4 linked regions of the Saccharomyces cerevisiae S288C genome follow. The gene in region 4 interacts genetically with the main gene of each other region. Each region holds a gene or a part of one and is shown on either strand. Other genes may lie near its edges. The genes, in order: PTR2, HEM13, FRA1 and DFG16.

What was found.
Region 1: mutations in DFG16 (region 4) and PTR2 together harm fitness more than expected from each alone (negative genetic interaction), as found in Saccharomyces cerevisiae (2 studies listed by BioGRID).
Region 2: mutations in DFG16 (region 4) and HEM13 together harm fitness more than expected from each alone (negative genetic interaction), as found in Saccharomyces cerevisiae (2 studies listed by BioGRID).
Region 3: mutations in DFG16 (region 4) and FRA1 together harm fitness more than expected from each alone (negative genetic interaction), as found in Saccharomyces cerevisiae (2 studies listed by BioGRID).

The regions. Positions count from the first base shown.
Region 1 is NC_001143.9:613,996-618,103, reverse strand, and holds PTR2 (Ptr2p), read right to left. Parts: upstream 2,375-4,108; coding exon 569-2,374; downstream 1-568. Other genes in the region: ubiquitin-60S ribosomal protein eL40 RPL40B fusion protein, read left to right, coding at 1-108. UniProt on the Saccharomyces cerevisiae protein: Uptake of small peptides.
Region 2 is NC_001136.10:544,756-548,154, reverse strand, and holds HEM13 (coproporphyrinogen oxidase), read right to left. Parts: upstream 1,514-3,399; coding exon 527-1,513; downstream 1-526. Other genes in the region: DNA-directed RNA polymerase III core subunit RPC11, read left to right, coding at 1-177.
Region 3 is NC_001144.5:79,834-84,251, forward strand, and holds FRA1 (aminopeptidase P), read left to right. Parts: upstream 1-1,627; coding exon 1,628-3,877; downstream 3,878-4,418. Other genes in the region: mannose-ethanolamine phosphotransferase GPI13, read right to left, coding at 1-372; RRT7 (Rrt7p), read right to left, coding at 523-864. UniProt on the Saccharomyces cerevisiae protein: Involved in the regulation of the iron regulon in responss to decreased mitochondrial iron-sulfur cluster synthesis.
Region 4 is NC_001147.6:385,231-389,228, reverse strand, and holds DFG16 (Dfg16p), read right to left. Parts: upstream 2,405-3,998; coding exon 545-2,404; downstream 1-544. UniProt on the Saccharomyces cerevisiae protein: Involved in invasion during filamentous growth.

The sequences.
Region 1 (4,108 bases), on a different chromosome or scaffold from region 4:
TCTGTTTGTCGTAAATGTTACGCCAGATTACCACCAAGAGCTACCAACTGTAGAAAGAGAAAGTGTGGTCACACCAACCAATTGCGTCCAAAGAAGAAGTTGAAATAATCGATTTATTACGATCTCCACAAATCCAAAGTTTGTATACATCACGATTTTTTTACTACATATATATTTCCTTTTCTATTCTATTTGTAAATGGGAGGAAATCTTAATATGGACCTCTCTTCACAAATTGTTCTATAATACAATATATATCAAGATATAATAACAAGTCATTTGAGATAATGGTATGCAAATACGCGAAATAAGAGTAAACGGATACAGTGAGCCTGAAGAGGACAAGCTGCTTCCATGTTGTAGTGTTTAGATATATGAGCTTAAAATTTAGATTTACTGAATATTATACAATAGTAATTATACATAAAGAAATTCCATTTTATCTGTTCGATAGCAATGGAAGAGGAGAGAGTTCTGTGAAACAAATAACAGCAGCACAGAAAACTCCCGTCAACGTAATATGGTTAAAAAAAAAAAAAAAAAAAAGACAGTAAGTTAATTAAACGCACTAATATTTGGTGGTGGATCTTAGACTTTCCATTGGTTCTAATATTTCAATATCGTTAGCTTTAGGTGCGGAAATTGGATTGAGATCAAATTCGTCTTCTTCTTCGTAGTCCATAGCGTTCATTTCTTCCTCTGTATCATTATACTTCCTGAAGCACAACCAGAACAAACAACCAGAAATAAAGCAGGCAACAGCCAAACCAGTGAATAACCATGTAAATTTAGGATCAACGGTCACTGGGGACAATGCACAACCGATTGCAGAACCAAAGGCGTTAGTCAATAAGAAAATGGACATAATAAACGATTTCATGGAAGCTGGGGCTTTGGAATAAGCGTATTCCAACCCAGTGATAGAGGCAAAGATCTCTGAAAAAGAAATCAAGACATATGCGGGTATTTGCCAGCAAACGTGGACATGATTTGGGGTGTTGTGACCCAGAGGTTCATTATACCATGGACCAGCCTTGTAAACGAAACTTTGTAGAACAGCAGCCCATGTCATGGCAAAAGATCCAAACATGAAACCGAAGAAAATTTTTGTAATTGGTTTTAGTGGAGTGTATCTTCTAATGAAAGGATATACGAATTTTTCAAAAATTGGGATGAAAATGATCAACGCAATGGAATCGAATGCTTGTAAGAAATCGTTGGGAATTCCATGTAATTCCATCATACTGGCCTGAGTGATGAAACTGGAAATCATGGTACCGTATTGGGTCCAATAAATTGGGTAGAATATAAAGACTTTACAAGCCGCCAAAGCTCTCTTAATTTCATCAACAAATTTGTCATTCCATGGATAGTTCTTTTCTGGATGAACAGAAGGTTTAGCAGCGTTGAAGTCGAACTTATTCTTAGTTAAAATCCAACAAACTTTAAAACTTTTAGCGATGACTTTATCTCCGATTGGTCTTTGAATGTATTGCTTTTTACCAAAAATCAAAGTGACAACAGCGATCCAAAAGAAGCAGAAGGGCAATAGATAGGCCGCCCAGAACCCCTTATGATATTCCAATTCAGTAGTGGCCATTAATGATAGAGAACCGACATTGATCATGAAATAGAAGAACATAAAAACGTTTTGTAAAGTAATATTTGAATCGACAATGACTCTTTCGCCCGATTTTAAAACTTTGATGGAGGGTTTCCGCTTAGGAAGCTGGTCGGCAATCAACACGGAAAGGTTAGCTTTAATCATACCAGTGGCAATACCGATCAGAATAATGGCAGCAATGAACCCACCAATAGCACTGTCTCTGTTACCAACGGAGGGAATCGAAGTGATAAATAGAATGAAAATACCGGCAATGTAAATAGCGGTACCGCAACAAATTGTATTATATTTACCCCAGAAGGTGTCCGCAACGTAACCACCGAAAACTGGTGTAACGTAACACCAAAACTGGAAAAAATACGACAACCCAGTGGCACCCTGACTGTTCAAGCTCAGAACACCCTTTGGGGAGTCATTAGGTCCATATTCCATGTAGTTTTGGAATGGTGCGGAAAGCCCGTAGTAGGAGAATCTCTCGGAAAGCTCTACAATAGCAATTAACCAACACCTCATAGGAATTTTACCACCAACGTGCCTTAAAGTCTGCATTTCTTCTTCAGTGGGGCCTTCGAAGTCTTCGTCCTCCGGAGAAGGGGACAAGTTGTAGCGTTCCGTGGAGTTGGCGACGTCGTCGCTAACATACGAATCCTTCAGCGTTACAGCCTGGGTCTTCTCCTCTTCGATGACCGGGAAGTCGCCTTGCTTTTCGTCCTGAGCATCATCTGAGCCTTGGCTGGGATGGTTGAGCATTATAAGAGTTTATTAGTGATCTAATTCAAAAGAAGAAAAAAAAAAATAATTGATAATATTTTATATTGTTTGCAGTGGAGCAGCACTGTGGTATACCTTCTTTTTCAAGTAAGCAAGTAAAAATAAAGTAGGAATAATGCGTAATAAGCCAACCCTAAAATAGACACAAACGGAAAGGATATAGAAGATATGTACATCACTTATATATTTTACAAACCTAAAAATTGTACAGAACAATAAAATGAAATGTAGAATGATATGAGTTGTGGTGATTGGAGAGAGTAAAAGAAAGGATGATAGATGCAAGAAGTAAGGCCAATCAAAGAGCAAGTCACTCTACACAGCTATCATATGAGGGGAGTGATCGCCGTACAGATAAGAAACCCAACTTTTTTCAAGACGCCACCGCTTGTGTAATCGCCATTATATCGAGGAAAGCCCTGCGAACGTGAAGTGAAAAGGACGGTTGTCCTTTTTCCTGTTCTTCGAGGATCCTGAACAGGATGTCAGTAGGGCGGGCCTTTTCTTTTTATTGTGCAGGTACGCATGTTTCTTTGACACAAAATAGTCTGGATTCGCCAGCCAGTGGCACTTTTGATGCCATTTCCACCACAGAAAACGTCTGAGTATTCAGCCATGGGAGGGGAGTGTTGAAAGGGGAGAAGCAGCCCACTTCTCTGTCTTGACACAAACCGCAGATTGCGTCACGGTTCTGCGGACGCCGTTAGCCCATTGGTGTCAAGTTATTGCGGGATTTTTTGGTGCCGTACGCCGGAGCCGACGGAGGTAAGTCAGTTCGCCGCTGCCTTCGGCGCCGTTATCTTATCTCGCCAGAAAACTCTTAGCTTTTCCGGGAAAAAAAATGAACAATACTGATTGCGTTACCCCAAGCTTATCCCACGTAGTTTTGTGTCTCTTTCTTGGGCTCTTGGCGGCCGTACGCATATAGTATACTAATGCGGTAACGGCTACCTCCTACGTCTGTATCAAAAAAGTTCGCTCTGGTCCTATCAATATTTTCTCCCACACGAGGATTCTGTGGTTTTGCAGCCACATCTACAGGATGTTGACTTTTTGTTTGTTTACGTAGTTTGTTTCAACGCTTTCGAAGATGTGGCGCTGGTGCAAGTCATCTAAGTTGGTTACTGATAACAAATTGTGACAAGGATGTAGTGGATGCGTAGGAGACCAAAATGACATCTGACACAAAAAAAAGTAGATAACGAAAACAGGACAAAGGTGTCATTTTGTTTTGCCAAGGAGAATTATAATCTTAGTGTGAAGATACTTTCATTAGACACATAAATTTACGTTCGACACACTTTTTTCTTACTCCTCCCCTTATCAAGGATACCTGGTTGATTCTACGTCGTCCTCTTCACTTTGGTTAATTCACCTTTGCCCTTCACCTTGTGGTGTGCGGGTGTTGCAGTCATTAATGTTCTTTATCGCGAGAGGGGGTCTACATAATCTTGTTTTTTCACTCCAATAAGGCAGTTATAGTGAATTTGTTTTATTACAGAAGGTGTACCCTTCGTTCGAGTTATTTTACTCTTGTTTTGTAGTTTGTACATCTCTTTATGTCTGGATCAAAACGATAATTCGAAGCTTATTGCAATTTAGTTCTCTTACCCATTTCTTTACAACGGGCCGAGAAAAAGTGGAGTTGGTCCGAGGAAGCTTTGAACGGGAAGAGGAAAAAACCTTCCCATCGCTCGAGCATACAATTTTTTT
Region 2 (3,399 bases), on a different chromosome or scaffold from region 4:
GATGTTCTTGGTGGTGGTTGGGACAATGTGGATCAAACCAAAACCCAATGTCCCAATTATGATACTTGTGGTGGTGAGAGTGCTTACTTTTTCCAACTACAAATTAGGTCAGCTGATGAGCCGATGACTACCTTTTATAAGTGTGTAAACTGTGGTCATAGATGGAAGGAAAATTAAGAAGTCCTTGAATATAAGATGAATTTTCTAAGAATAAAAAGAGTAATAAAAACATCTTAAAATTTGATTAGAAGGCATGATCGCATATTGAGAATGAAGGCTGCTGCCATATTTTTAGAGCAATAGATACTGATATAATTTTTGATCCTGCACGTACTGTGAACTTGCATCATAAATAGGACGCAATAATTAATATTTTTAAGAATAGAGATCCTGTATCAATTGAATTTGAAGAATTATGTAAAGGAGGTATAATAAATAGATAAAAAAATGTATAAATAAGTGGTCGAAATAATTAAATCATCATTGTCATTGAGATCATAAAATCGGTCTGCTAAAGAACCTTGAATTATTTAACCCACTCTCTTGGTTTGGTGGTAACTTCTAGTAATTTAGCTTCTCTGGAACCAGGAGCAGGGTGGTGGTTGTATAACCATGAAGCATGTTCAGGCAAACTCATCAAAATTGACTCAACTCTAGAGCCTGGGGTTCTCAAACCGAATTGGGTACCTCTATCGTAGATTAAGTTGAATTCAACGTATCTACCACGTCTAATGGCCTGCCATTGTTGTTCTTCCTTTGTATATGGCATATCTTTTCTTCTCTTGACGATAGTCAAGTAGGATGGCAAGAAAGCATCGAAACAGTCTTCAACCATCTTCAATATTTCTTGTGGGTCACGTTCATCATAATCGTCAAAGAATATACCACCAATACCACGTGTTTCCTTACGGTGGGTAATGTAGAAGTACTCATCACACCATTTCTTGAAACGTGGGTACAAAGCAGTGTCGTGCTTGTCCAAGGCATCCTTGTGCAGTTGGTGGAATAATTGACCGTCTTCTTCGTATAAGTAAGAAGGTGTCAAATCAGCACCACCACCAAACCACCAAGTTTGTGGGGTCCCATCTTGGTTCCAAGTTTCGAAGTAACGGTAGTTTAAGTGCGTGGTTGGAGCGTGTGGGTTAACGGGATGAATGACCATACTTAAACCACAAGCGAAGAACTTGACACCGTCGGTAACTGGCAAACCAGTCTTTGGATCTTCTGGTAGACGCAGATTCTTATGATCAGCTTTCATGGCTGAAACGGCCGCTGGGCTCAATTGACCATAAACAACGGAGACATTAACACCACCTTTTTCGAAAGTTGTACCGTCTTGGATAACCATAGAGGTACCACCACCACCATCGTTACCACGGGTCCAAGTATCAGCGTGGAACTTAACAGTATCGATGGATTCCAAACCTTGCGTGATTTCAGCTTGTTTGCGACGGATAAGAGCTTCCATTTGTTGTCTAATTGGAAGATTCCTTGGATCTTGAGGGGCAGGCATCTTTATGTGTATTTAATTGTGTTCGAAGAGTTCGGTTTGCTATGTTTGATTTGCGAAAAGAAAGCTTTTGATATGCTCAAAAAAAGAAAACCCGGAGAATAAAAGCTTAACAAAGAAAGACAATAGGTGGAAAAAAAAAGGAAAATCCGTGTCCTTATATAGCCTTTCGAAACGAGAACAATGGGCAAAGCAAGCTTTATCTTCGGATCGTCCGTCAGCGCTTTGGTTGCAGTCTTATGCTTTGTTCAAGCTGGAGCGTTATTGGTGGGAGAACCAGAAAAGGCGAAAGCGTAGCGTTCTTTGAAATTTGGCTTCTGTTCCTGCGACTCGTTTAAAAGTAGAAGGGCCCGCGGAGCCGCTGTGAAAGATTTCTTTTACTCTTTCAGCGCAGAAATCTCGCAGGAGCTCAGCAGAAAGTGCCTATGACGGTAATCCCAGGGGCTAATGGTGTGAAGGCACTTTCTAAACAATTGAAATTAAAATACCGTGCCTATAGTAACTTTTTTTTACGCTGTGAACCGTTCAACACACAGTAAAAACTCCGCAGGAAATGGTTTGAAGAATCTTAATCACGAATTAGGCGTATTGTTTTTCCCAACAGTGAACGAGAGGACAAACTCCAGAGGATTTGCGGGCTTGATGATAAAATGTATTGTTGAAAAGATCGCGAATGCAACAATTACGGTGGGGAGAAATATCAACAAAAGGGCAAGGCTATGCCTTCTGGAAAGTGGCAGACTTGCACTTTCCTCGAAAAGAAAAATGACCGCAAGATCCGGTTGTTCTCAACCTTCTACATTAAGACATACTTCTACGATTTTCGAATGCCGAAGCAACTATCGCTGAAATTTGTCATGTCAAAATTGCTACTGGGGGAGAAGAATATATATGGAAGTAATTATTATTTACGTTGCTGAAATGGCAGGTTAGACGCATGTTTTGCAAAATAAGTGGTTTTGAAAAGAATTGATACTAGGAATCGGTGCAATACCTTCTACCTTTCTTAATAGGTATTCTTGAATAATCTACCTCACTTTCTGTCCCAGATACGAGATGTCGAGCGCCTCGAAAATAGATATCGTTTATTACGTTAGATACGGAAAGGTCTACGTGTCATAATAAATTGCATCTGGATTGCGATTTTGGGTCATGCCTAACTGGGAAAATATTTACATCTCCATGTTCTCATTCTGCCTTTGCTTTCCTTCAAAACATGGTTTTCAATTCAACCTAGGGTCTACCGCGGAACCATATGTACGCCGTAAATGCGAGTGTTCTTGAAAGGTAGTAATGTGTTCCCTCTCAATATGTAAGTCCTTCAAGAGTATGCACTTGCAGTTGCACTGTTTCGGGTAATTATCCGTCATTAAGAAAAAGATGCTTCCACTTTCTCGTGTTTTTACGCACAATCGTGCCATTTAACCGGAAATAGACTCCATTGCATTGATTGCTCTCATAAAAATTATAGCCCGCGTTTGATACTTGTTTAAAATAGGTGTCGACAAAGTTAGTTTCTGTCTTCCATTTAGTTTTTACAATATGACACGTCAAATAAATCTTTTCGATTTAGTTAAAAGAGTTACCTGGCGATAGCCTTCTGGTAAAACACCTATTCATAAAACAATCTTAAAAAACCAAAAAATTACCAAACAACTATGTAGGACATATTTTTACAGTTCATAAAAACGCTTCGAGCTGCCGATATCGGTATCAAACACCAAAATATACATAGTGCTGGTTTAAGCCAGAATATCTTGGTGAAGCTGCGCCTATATGCCTTGTATTTAAAACAAGTCACGAAAAGCTATTGCCAAAGGAACATAAAAACTCGTATCTATGTTATATTATAAAAAAGATATAATATTTATATATTATTATTAATATTA
Region 3 (4,418 bases), on a different chromosome or scaffold from region 4:
ATCGCTTGCAAAAGAATCATACAATGATAATATATTATTATGATAGTTCAAGTTGTAATTAGAGTGGGATTCGTTTACAGGAATAGCGAAATCAAATCTCAAAGCGTCAATAACCAAAATCACCGCCTTGTTGAACCTAGGAGGTAACTTACTCGTTTCGTTTTGTGAGGAAATATTATCAAGAACGTGTCTTGACAGTAAGAATCCCCGAGTGAAAAAAGCTATTGATATGAATTGTAAAATGGCGATGAAAACCAATAGAATAATATAAAATTTATGATTCTTTTGAAATTTCTTTATTCGCGATTTGTATATTATTTTTTCATCATTGGAAGATGAAAGAATCGACTTTTTAATTGTCTTTTCATCCATATTACGGGAGCTTTTTTTTTCCACTTAATGTATTGATCTTCCTCCCGTTCTTTGACGATTCGGCGTTGCCCTTAAAACATATGCTTCTATTCCTTTTTTGATCTTACCCATTTATTTGTTTTTTTTTATTTTCCGGTGGACAACAAAATGTTAAAGGAAAAAAGAAAGTACCTTGCTCGTCATCGCGCTTGCATAATGTGCGCCATTACCCTGTAACAAAAACAAAAGATAGAGTGGCAACAACTTGACACAACTTTGCAATTGTACCATGAACCCCAACAAGAAAGGCGGTTGAGAGTAAATGATGTGGTTTGGTTCCTTTTTTTTCCTACATTTAAGGTTCATAGAGAAGAAAATTTTCTGAAATGTCTTTTCCTCTTTTAATGAATTGTAAAAAAGCCAGTATTGGAATAATATTCTATTCAATATAGTAAGAAAAGAGGCAATGGGCAGAAATCTTCTCCCGCATAATCCTTTAAATGCAAAATACATGTTAGGCGTCTAAATTTTTTTCAGTGAATCCAGATGCAGAAACATTTAAACAATAAATATCTTAAACCCATTTTGAAGCATCGGCGGCTAAAAAAATGATTTTGCATGGAAAAAAATGAGAGCTGTGAACCCAATAAAAAAGACAGCTTTTTAAAAATGTATAACGGTACATTAAGCTCTTGTTTATTCCTCAAACTGCTCCTAAAAACCATCCTCTCAAAAATAATAATGATAGCTGAAGATTATCTGCCACGAAATGCCATTGAGCCGCTTACTTGTAGGTTTTCATGAGTAATAACGAAGATAATTTACCCGTCTTTATAACCCACGTAAAAATAAACATATAATTATTTCTTATTATTTCAACTAACCGTTAAAGTGTTCAAATATGGTAGAAAGCTTTCCCTATGTGCATTATGATTATCTTTTAGCCGCCAGAGTTTAGTTTAATTTTGTTTTGTTTTTGACGACTTCTGGTGTTACCCGAAGGTATATCCCCGGGTGACCCCTAAAAATCGCACCCCATTTTCCCGAATTTTCTTCTACGTTTTCTTTTTTCAGAAATACTTCGAATGAGGGATGGAACAAGAAGGAAGCGACATACAAAAACTGAGTCAGTTTAGTCTTAATAGGTGCAATATTTACAAATACAGGAAAGGCAGGAAGCACTGGCAAAAAGACTGCATAGCTAAAAAAAAAAAGAATAAAAAAAAAACGGAGACCTCAACAGAGCGAAACCAATAATTACAAACAAAATCTTCATATGACTTCGAAACCATCCACCAGTGACGGCAGGGCTCACTCGATTTCCCATGTACCTGGCACGCACATGAGAGGAACATCGGCATCACACAGCCCCAGACCGTTTAGGCCATGTGCGGATTGTACGTGTTCTCCAGGCTTACTGTCTAGGCAAGGTCGTAGAGCCTCTCTATTTTTAAGACAGTTAGAAAATTCAAGGAGGTCCTCCAGCATGCTTCTCAACGAGTTGAAGGGCGCTGGCGGAGGTAGCAGTGCTGGAAATGGGTCTGTTTACTCATGTGACTCTCTATGCGCTGTTAACAGGGAAGTTAACACTACTGATAGATTGTTGAAGTTGCGTCAGGAGATGAAGAAACACGATTTGTGTTGTTATATTGTGCCCAGTTGTGACGAACATCAGTCCGAATATGTATCATTGCGAGATCAAAGGCGCGCCTTCATTTCAGGGTTTTCCGGATCGGCCGGTGTAGCCTGTATCACCAGAGACTTGTTAAATTTCAACGATGACCATCCGGATGGGAAATCCATTTTGAGTACTGATGGAAGATATTTCAATCAAGCTAGACAAGAACTAGATTATAATTGGACACTTTTGAGGCAAAACGAAGACCCAATCACTTGGCAAGAATGGTGTGTCAGAGAAGCTTTGGAAATGGCCAAGGGACTTGGCAATAAAGAGGGAATGGTGTTGAAGATAGGTATTGACCCAAAACTTATCACTTTCAACGACTATGTTTCTTTTAGAAAAATGATTGACACTAAATATGACGCAAAGGGTAAAGTGGAGCTGGTTCCCGTGGAGGAAAACTTAGTTGACAGTATTTGGCCTGATTTTGAAACTCTACCTGAAAGGCCTTGTAACGATTTACTACTGTTAAAATACGAGTTTCATGGTGAAGAATTCAAAGACAAGAAGGAAAAGTTACTGAAAAAGCTGAATGATAAGGCTTCCTCTGCGACGACCGGTAGGAATACTTTCATAGTAGTTGCGTTGGATGAAATTTGTTGGTTGTTGAACTTGCGTGGATCCGACATTGACTATAATCCAGTTTTTTTCTCCTACGTGGCTATTAACGAAGACGAAACCATTCTTTTCACCAATAACCCCTTCAATGATGACATATCGGAATATTTTAAGATAAACGGTATTGAAGTCAGACCTTACGAACAGATATGGGAACATTTAACAAAGATAACTTCGCAGGCTTCTTCTGCGGAGCATGAATTTTTGATTCCTGATAGTGCATCGTGGCAGATGGTTCGTTGTTTGAACACCTCAACCAACGCTAACGGTGCAATAGCTAAAAAAATGACTGCACAAAACTTTGCGATAATTCACTCACCCATCGATGTTTTGAAATCTATCAAGAATGACATCGAAATAAAAAACGCACACAAGGCGCAGGTCAAAGACGCAGTATGTTTAGTGCAGTATTTTGCATGGCTGGAGCAGCAATTAGTGGGGCGCGAGGCACTGATAGATGAATATCGTGCCGCAGAAAAATTGACCGAGATTAGGAAAACCCAAAGGAACTTCATGGGCAATTCCTTCGAAACAATATCCTCCACAGGTAGTAACGCCGCCATCATACATTATTCGCCGCCCGTAGAGAACTCTTCGATGATTGATCCTACCAAGATATATCTTTGCGACTCCGGTTCGCAATTCTTGGAGGGTACAACTGATATAACAAGAACAATTCACTTAACAAAGCCAACCAAAGAAGAAATGGATAATTACACACTGGTACTTAAAGGTGGCTTAGCCCTAGAGAGGTTGATTTTTCCCGAAAACACTCCCGGGTTTAATATCGACGCCATCGCTAGGCAGTTTTTATGGTCCCGCGGGTTAGATTACAAACATGGCACAGGCCATGGTATCGGATCATTTTTAAACGTTCACGAAGGACCCATGGGTGTCGGCTTTAGGCCACATCTGATGAATTTCCCCTTAAGAGCGGGTAACATAATAAGTAACGAACCAGGTTATTATAAGGATGGTGAGTATGGTATCAGGATTGAAAGCGACATGTTAATCAAGAAGGCCACTGAGAAGGGTAACTTCTTGAAATTCGAAAACATGACTGTGGTTCCCTATTGCAGGAAGTTGATCAATACTAAGTTACTAAACGAAGAAGAAAAAACACAGATTAACGAGTACCACGCAAGGGTATGGAGGACAATAGTGCATTTTCTGCAGCCTCAGAGTATTTCATACAAGTGGCTGAAAAGAGAAACAAGCCCACTATGACTTCGAGGCGAGCGGGGCGCAATACAATTAATGTTAGTATTTATTCTAAGTAGTTTCTTTCTTTTTATTTAATTTGAGTGATAACAATAACAACAATAATGACTAAAAGGTGAAAATTGAAAACATTACCTTCATTTTTTTACGGCCGGAGAGGGGTAGGTACACTTAACCCCGAGCGCTTTTAGTGCCAAAAAGAGTTAATGTGCGTAGTCGGATTTTAAACGACCATGCATGTACAGCCCCCTAGTGATTTATACTGATGCCTCATCAAGAAATTTTTTCATCCAGGGTCCCTGCTCGGCGAACCTTTCCGCAAGAGTCACAAAAATCAATCTTATAACCAGGCACCAGTAGTACTGCCAAGCTTGGACTACATAGCCAACGTAAAGACAAGGAGTCTGATTTAGTATTTCTTTTTTGCCAGCCAGTATTTTCTGCGCAGGATAGATTATTTTAAGAGCCGAGAATTCCTTATGCGGGCCCGGTCACAACGGATTATAGGTTCCGCCAGACCCCGTTGCTTTGGTTCCATGGAGCAGGA
Region 4 (3,998 bases):
ATATTTTTACAGTCATATTTATTGAGTACTATTTGACATTGTAGTGTTCAGTGTAATATCGCTTCGCTATTCTTAGGGGGGACGATGTGCGCCCTTCTTATATAGGCCCCGCTTGATCACTACTTCACAGCCCTCTCGCATCCCTATCCTTTTTTTGTCCGAAAGACAAAAATCACTTCCACACAGCAATAAAGACGCATTTATTGTTCTTTTTCTTAAAAGTGCTTGCAGTAGGGGGTTTAGCAAAAGAAAAAAATATATGACCGGTTGTTATGCGATCTGACGTAAAGTGGAACTCATTTTGAAGGGTTTCTGCACAGAAGTCAATGCCAGAAGGATTTGGAACACCTACAGGACTGAACGTCGGACTAAAATAATGTTGGTAGAGTATGGTATTACTGTAAATTAATCGTTTATACGTGACGTTGACGATGGGATTTGATTTTCTTGTATATCTGACTTGAAAATAAAAGCAATAAATGACCACAAGAAATAAAGGCAGCTGTACTTCTGCAGTTATGTCTTTTCGTCCACTGGGCCTGCCTTAATCACTATTTTCGTAATTATAAATGTGGTTGGTTCGAAGTTCGGTTTCCATACTTTCGTTGTCACTGATGTCTGTAGCTAGATAATTGGAATCTCTAATATGTTTGTCGGCTCCTGGTCTAACAGTTGAGCCTTCTTTATTCTGTCCAATGCCATTTTTTGGTTCATATGAATTGGTTTTTCGCCTAGGCTTCCTTAATAGCTGTCGATATTTGGATAATGTCGTTTTAGTATTAGGTTTGCCATTCGATTTACTTCCAAAACTGGGATTTTGCCCAAATTTATTCTCACTTTTCATTATCTTATGTCTTCTTCTTCTGTCCCTTATTCTTTCGATTGGAGATTTCCAGGTGGGTGAAGGGGATCCTACTAAACTTGATGAATCGTGGGAAGTAGTGTTACTTTTAGTAGTGTTTAAATCCCTGTTTAACGTTATGGCGCTTAAATGCTTGCCTAAATCTTCTCCGTAATAATTGACTGTTGGATTGGCGAAAAATTTGTCCCTATTGTTAATTTTTCGTCCAAGGACTGTTTTTTTGCTTATGTGCAGCTCCCTCTTTTCCAATACTCCAATTAAGCCCCAAACGTTCACTGTTATTAAAACTTTCAAAAGATGAACAAAGTTAAATGTCCAACCTCTAACATGTTTGGTGAAAGCAGCGAAAAAAATTGTGGTGAAATAGAATAAAATAAATATAAGAATATTATACGCCAATAATGGTATAGTTTCGTGATAATTTTCCCAAAGAATTCTCAATTTCGTTTTACACTTACCGTCCGTATTAATTTCAGCAGTTTTCGGTAAAAGTATGTAAGCAAAATTATGCCATGTGAAGTAACAAATAATGGAGATGAAAATTGTGTAAATCAGTAATTCGATTAGCTTGTAAAATACCTTCAAAACTACAAGGTTCTTTCTCCAAAGAAGGTTTGCGAATAAAATGTTATCGGCTAGTGAGAGGAAGCAACCCACGGTAATTATGATATGTGTCCCCTTTTTCATTTTAAATGGGATCCAATTCCAAGTTGGTTTTCCATAATTGGACTGTAAGTAGTGAACAATATAAATCCAGTTTATATCACTCAAAATATTTGCAACTAATTCACATATTTTATATGGTGCAGTTTCTACGATGAACGATTCAAATTGGCTCGCATCCTGGTAGTCATCGTGATATTGGCTGTCAAATATGACGGCTATAGTCTCGTTTAGAAATACAGTTCTTATAATCGCAGAGAAAAGGACGTAAACATGTACAACTTTATTTCTTCTATTATGATTATCGGATGGCAGTAATAAGACAACCAAAAATAGCATCCATGTTGCCACACAGATACACCCAGAAGCAAAGGTGATCATTATCATTCCTAAGGGAAATGGGTCTTTTCCGATGTATTTACTACTGTCATCTTGAACGTTGAATTTGTTGTTGATGTCATAAACAAAGTCTTGTAAGACATGAGAGAAATTAGGATTTGCACTGCCATTATCGCATCGGATCAAAAAGGATGGGTAATTTAAAGTGTAATTATAAGCACGTAAGTGCCACGAATTACTTGCTAGAGAGATGAAGCCACCTGTCAATACATTTACCGTGCATGAGTTTTCATATTTATTTAGTAGTTTATCATCTATCAAATCAGTCAGATTGTAAGCTGGAATGTTGTCGATGTGTTTTTTATAAGGTGGCCGGTGGTCGTAATGCGGTGGTCTTTCATCACCAAGTTTATGTCCCGGAGGACCAGGTATCAAATCGGGAGGTTGAATTCTCTTTCTTGCTGCTTTTTCATACGCACCTACAAGTCCTAAATGGTAAACTAAAGTGAGGAGGTAGTAAAAATGCAATCTTATGATCATTAATCTTGCACGTAAAGACGTTCCGCAACAAAAAATGCTTGTGAGTGCAATATCAATAAGTATTGTTTTTGAGCCTTCGGAGTTGAGCTGCCATTTGGTGGTACTTGTTTTGAATATGATAGAAGCCTTATCTTTGACACTTCTTCCAGTCAATTTTCTCGCCAAGTTAAAAAAAAAAGTTACAATTTTCTCATCACCCCGAAACAACAAAAGAAAGTATATTGCTCTTTAGCCCTTCCTTGCAGATTTTTCAATCCAACGGGGCTAGTAAATCTGATATCAATCACATCGATTGTGTTATCTTCACATGTTGTTTGATAGAAATCAGACCTTCTTTTTTCTTCTTCTCGGATGTTTATAGTTAGTAAAGCTAAACTGTGTATATATGGCAATCACCGAAGACGAATTATTACAGGACAGAAATAAATGGGTTACACACCAGAAATCAGGGACAAAAGGGCCCAACGGAAATTTTATAGGTTGTTTTGTTTATCTGTGCACATAGGCGACAAAACTAAAGTTATGTATCTAAGAATTACAACGTAGTGTAGGTGAGCGGTACTTGAAACTTTCTTTTTGTAAACACCATAAAAGGATATTAATGACATCGGTTGAAATAATGACATCTAGAAGGAAAATTACAACTAGAAGAAAGCGTGATTATGTTGTAAAGAATCCGGCAAATAGAAAAGCTAAAAGATGATTGCAAGGCTAGTGAAGATATTTCAAAACTTAGTTACTCGTTACCTTAAAAACCTTACATTGTTCTCATGTATTACATGAAATTCTATCTTTTCTTTTTGAATAAGCTCTAAGTATTAATCCTCAAGTATTAATTGCCCACCACCTTCTTAAAACTGTTGTTTTTTAATTACAATTTTCTACGCTAACCCGTTTCTTCCATTTTCTCACTGTTAGTATTCCCATATAACGATCTTCTTAGATTATCTATAAAAGCGTATTTTGAGATTTGTTGCAATGACCTAAAAATGGTTGACAGTCATTCTTCTTGTTGCTGCTTTTAATAAACTAATTCTTTAGAGAAGGATAAGTACTGTGACATATTTACACTTTTTAACTAACTTCTTTGGCCACAACTAGTGAAATGTTCATCTACTGCGCAATTCAATATGCCCGCCGATAGCTAAGCGATAGCTCTTTCAAAAATTTTAAAAAAAAGGTACTATCAAACTGAATTGGAATGATTATGGTTCAAACTTACTCCTGATTCAAATATAGCAAAAAAATCAGGTGTGCAGCTATAGATCTGCCAGATACACGAGTCATTGCGAAAGGCACCATATATTACCTTATTTAGTGCCTTCTTGAAAAACAACTACAAGATCTTAACGTCACTGTATAGTGCCATTCGGTGAGCAAAGACAGGTATTGGTACTAATTGACAGTAAATGACTTATCTAACCCGTTGACGCAATGCTTCGCTTTTGCCATCAAGAATGTTGAACTGTGCAAAATGGTATTTTTTCGGAGAAACATTTCAAAATGGAAAGGTAACAACGTCCGTAGTTTTGTTTTTCCGTTTTATCGTTTACATGATTATCCTGAAAAGTCCCCTGCAGCAGCAATCATAGGG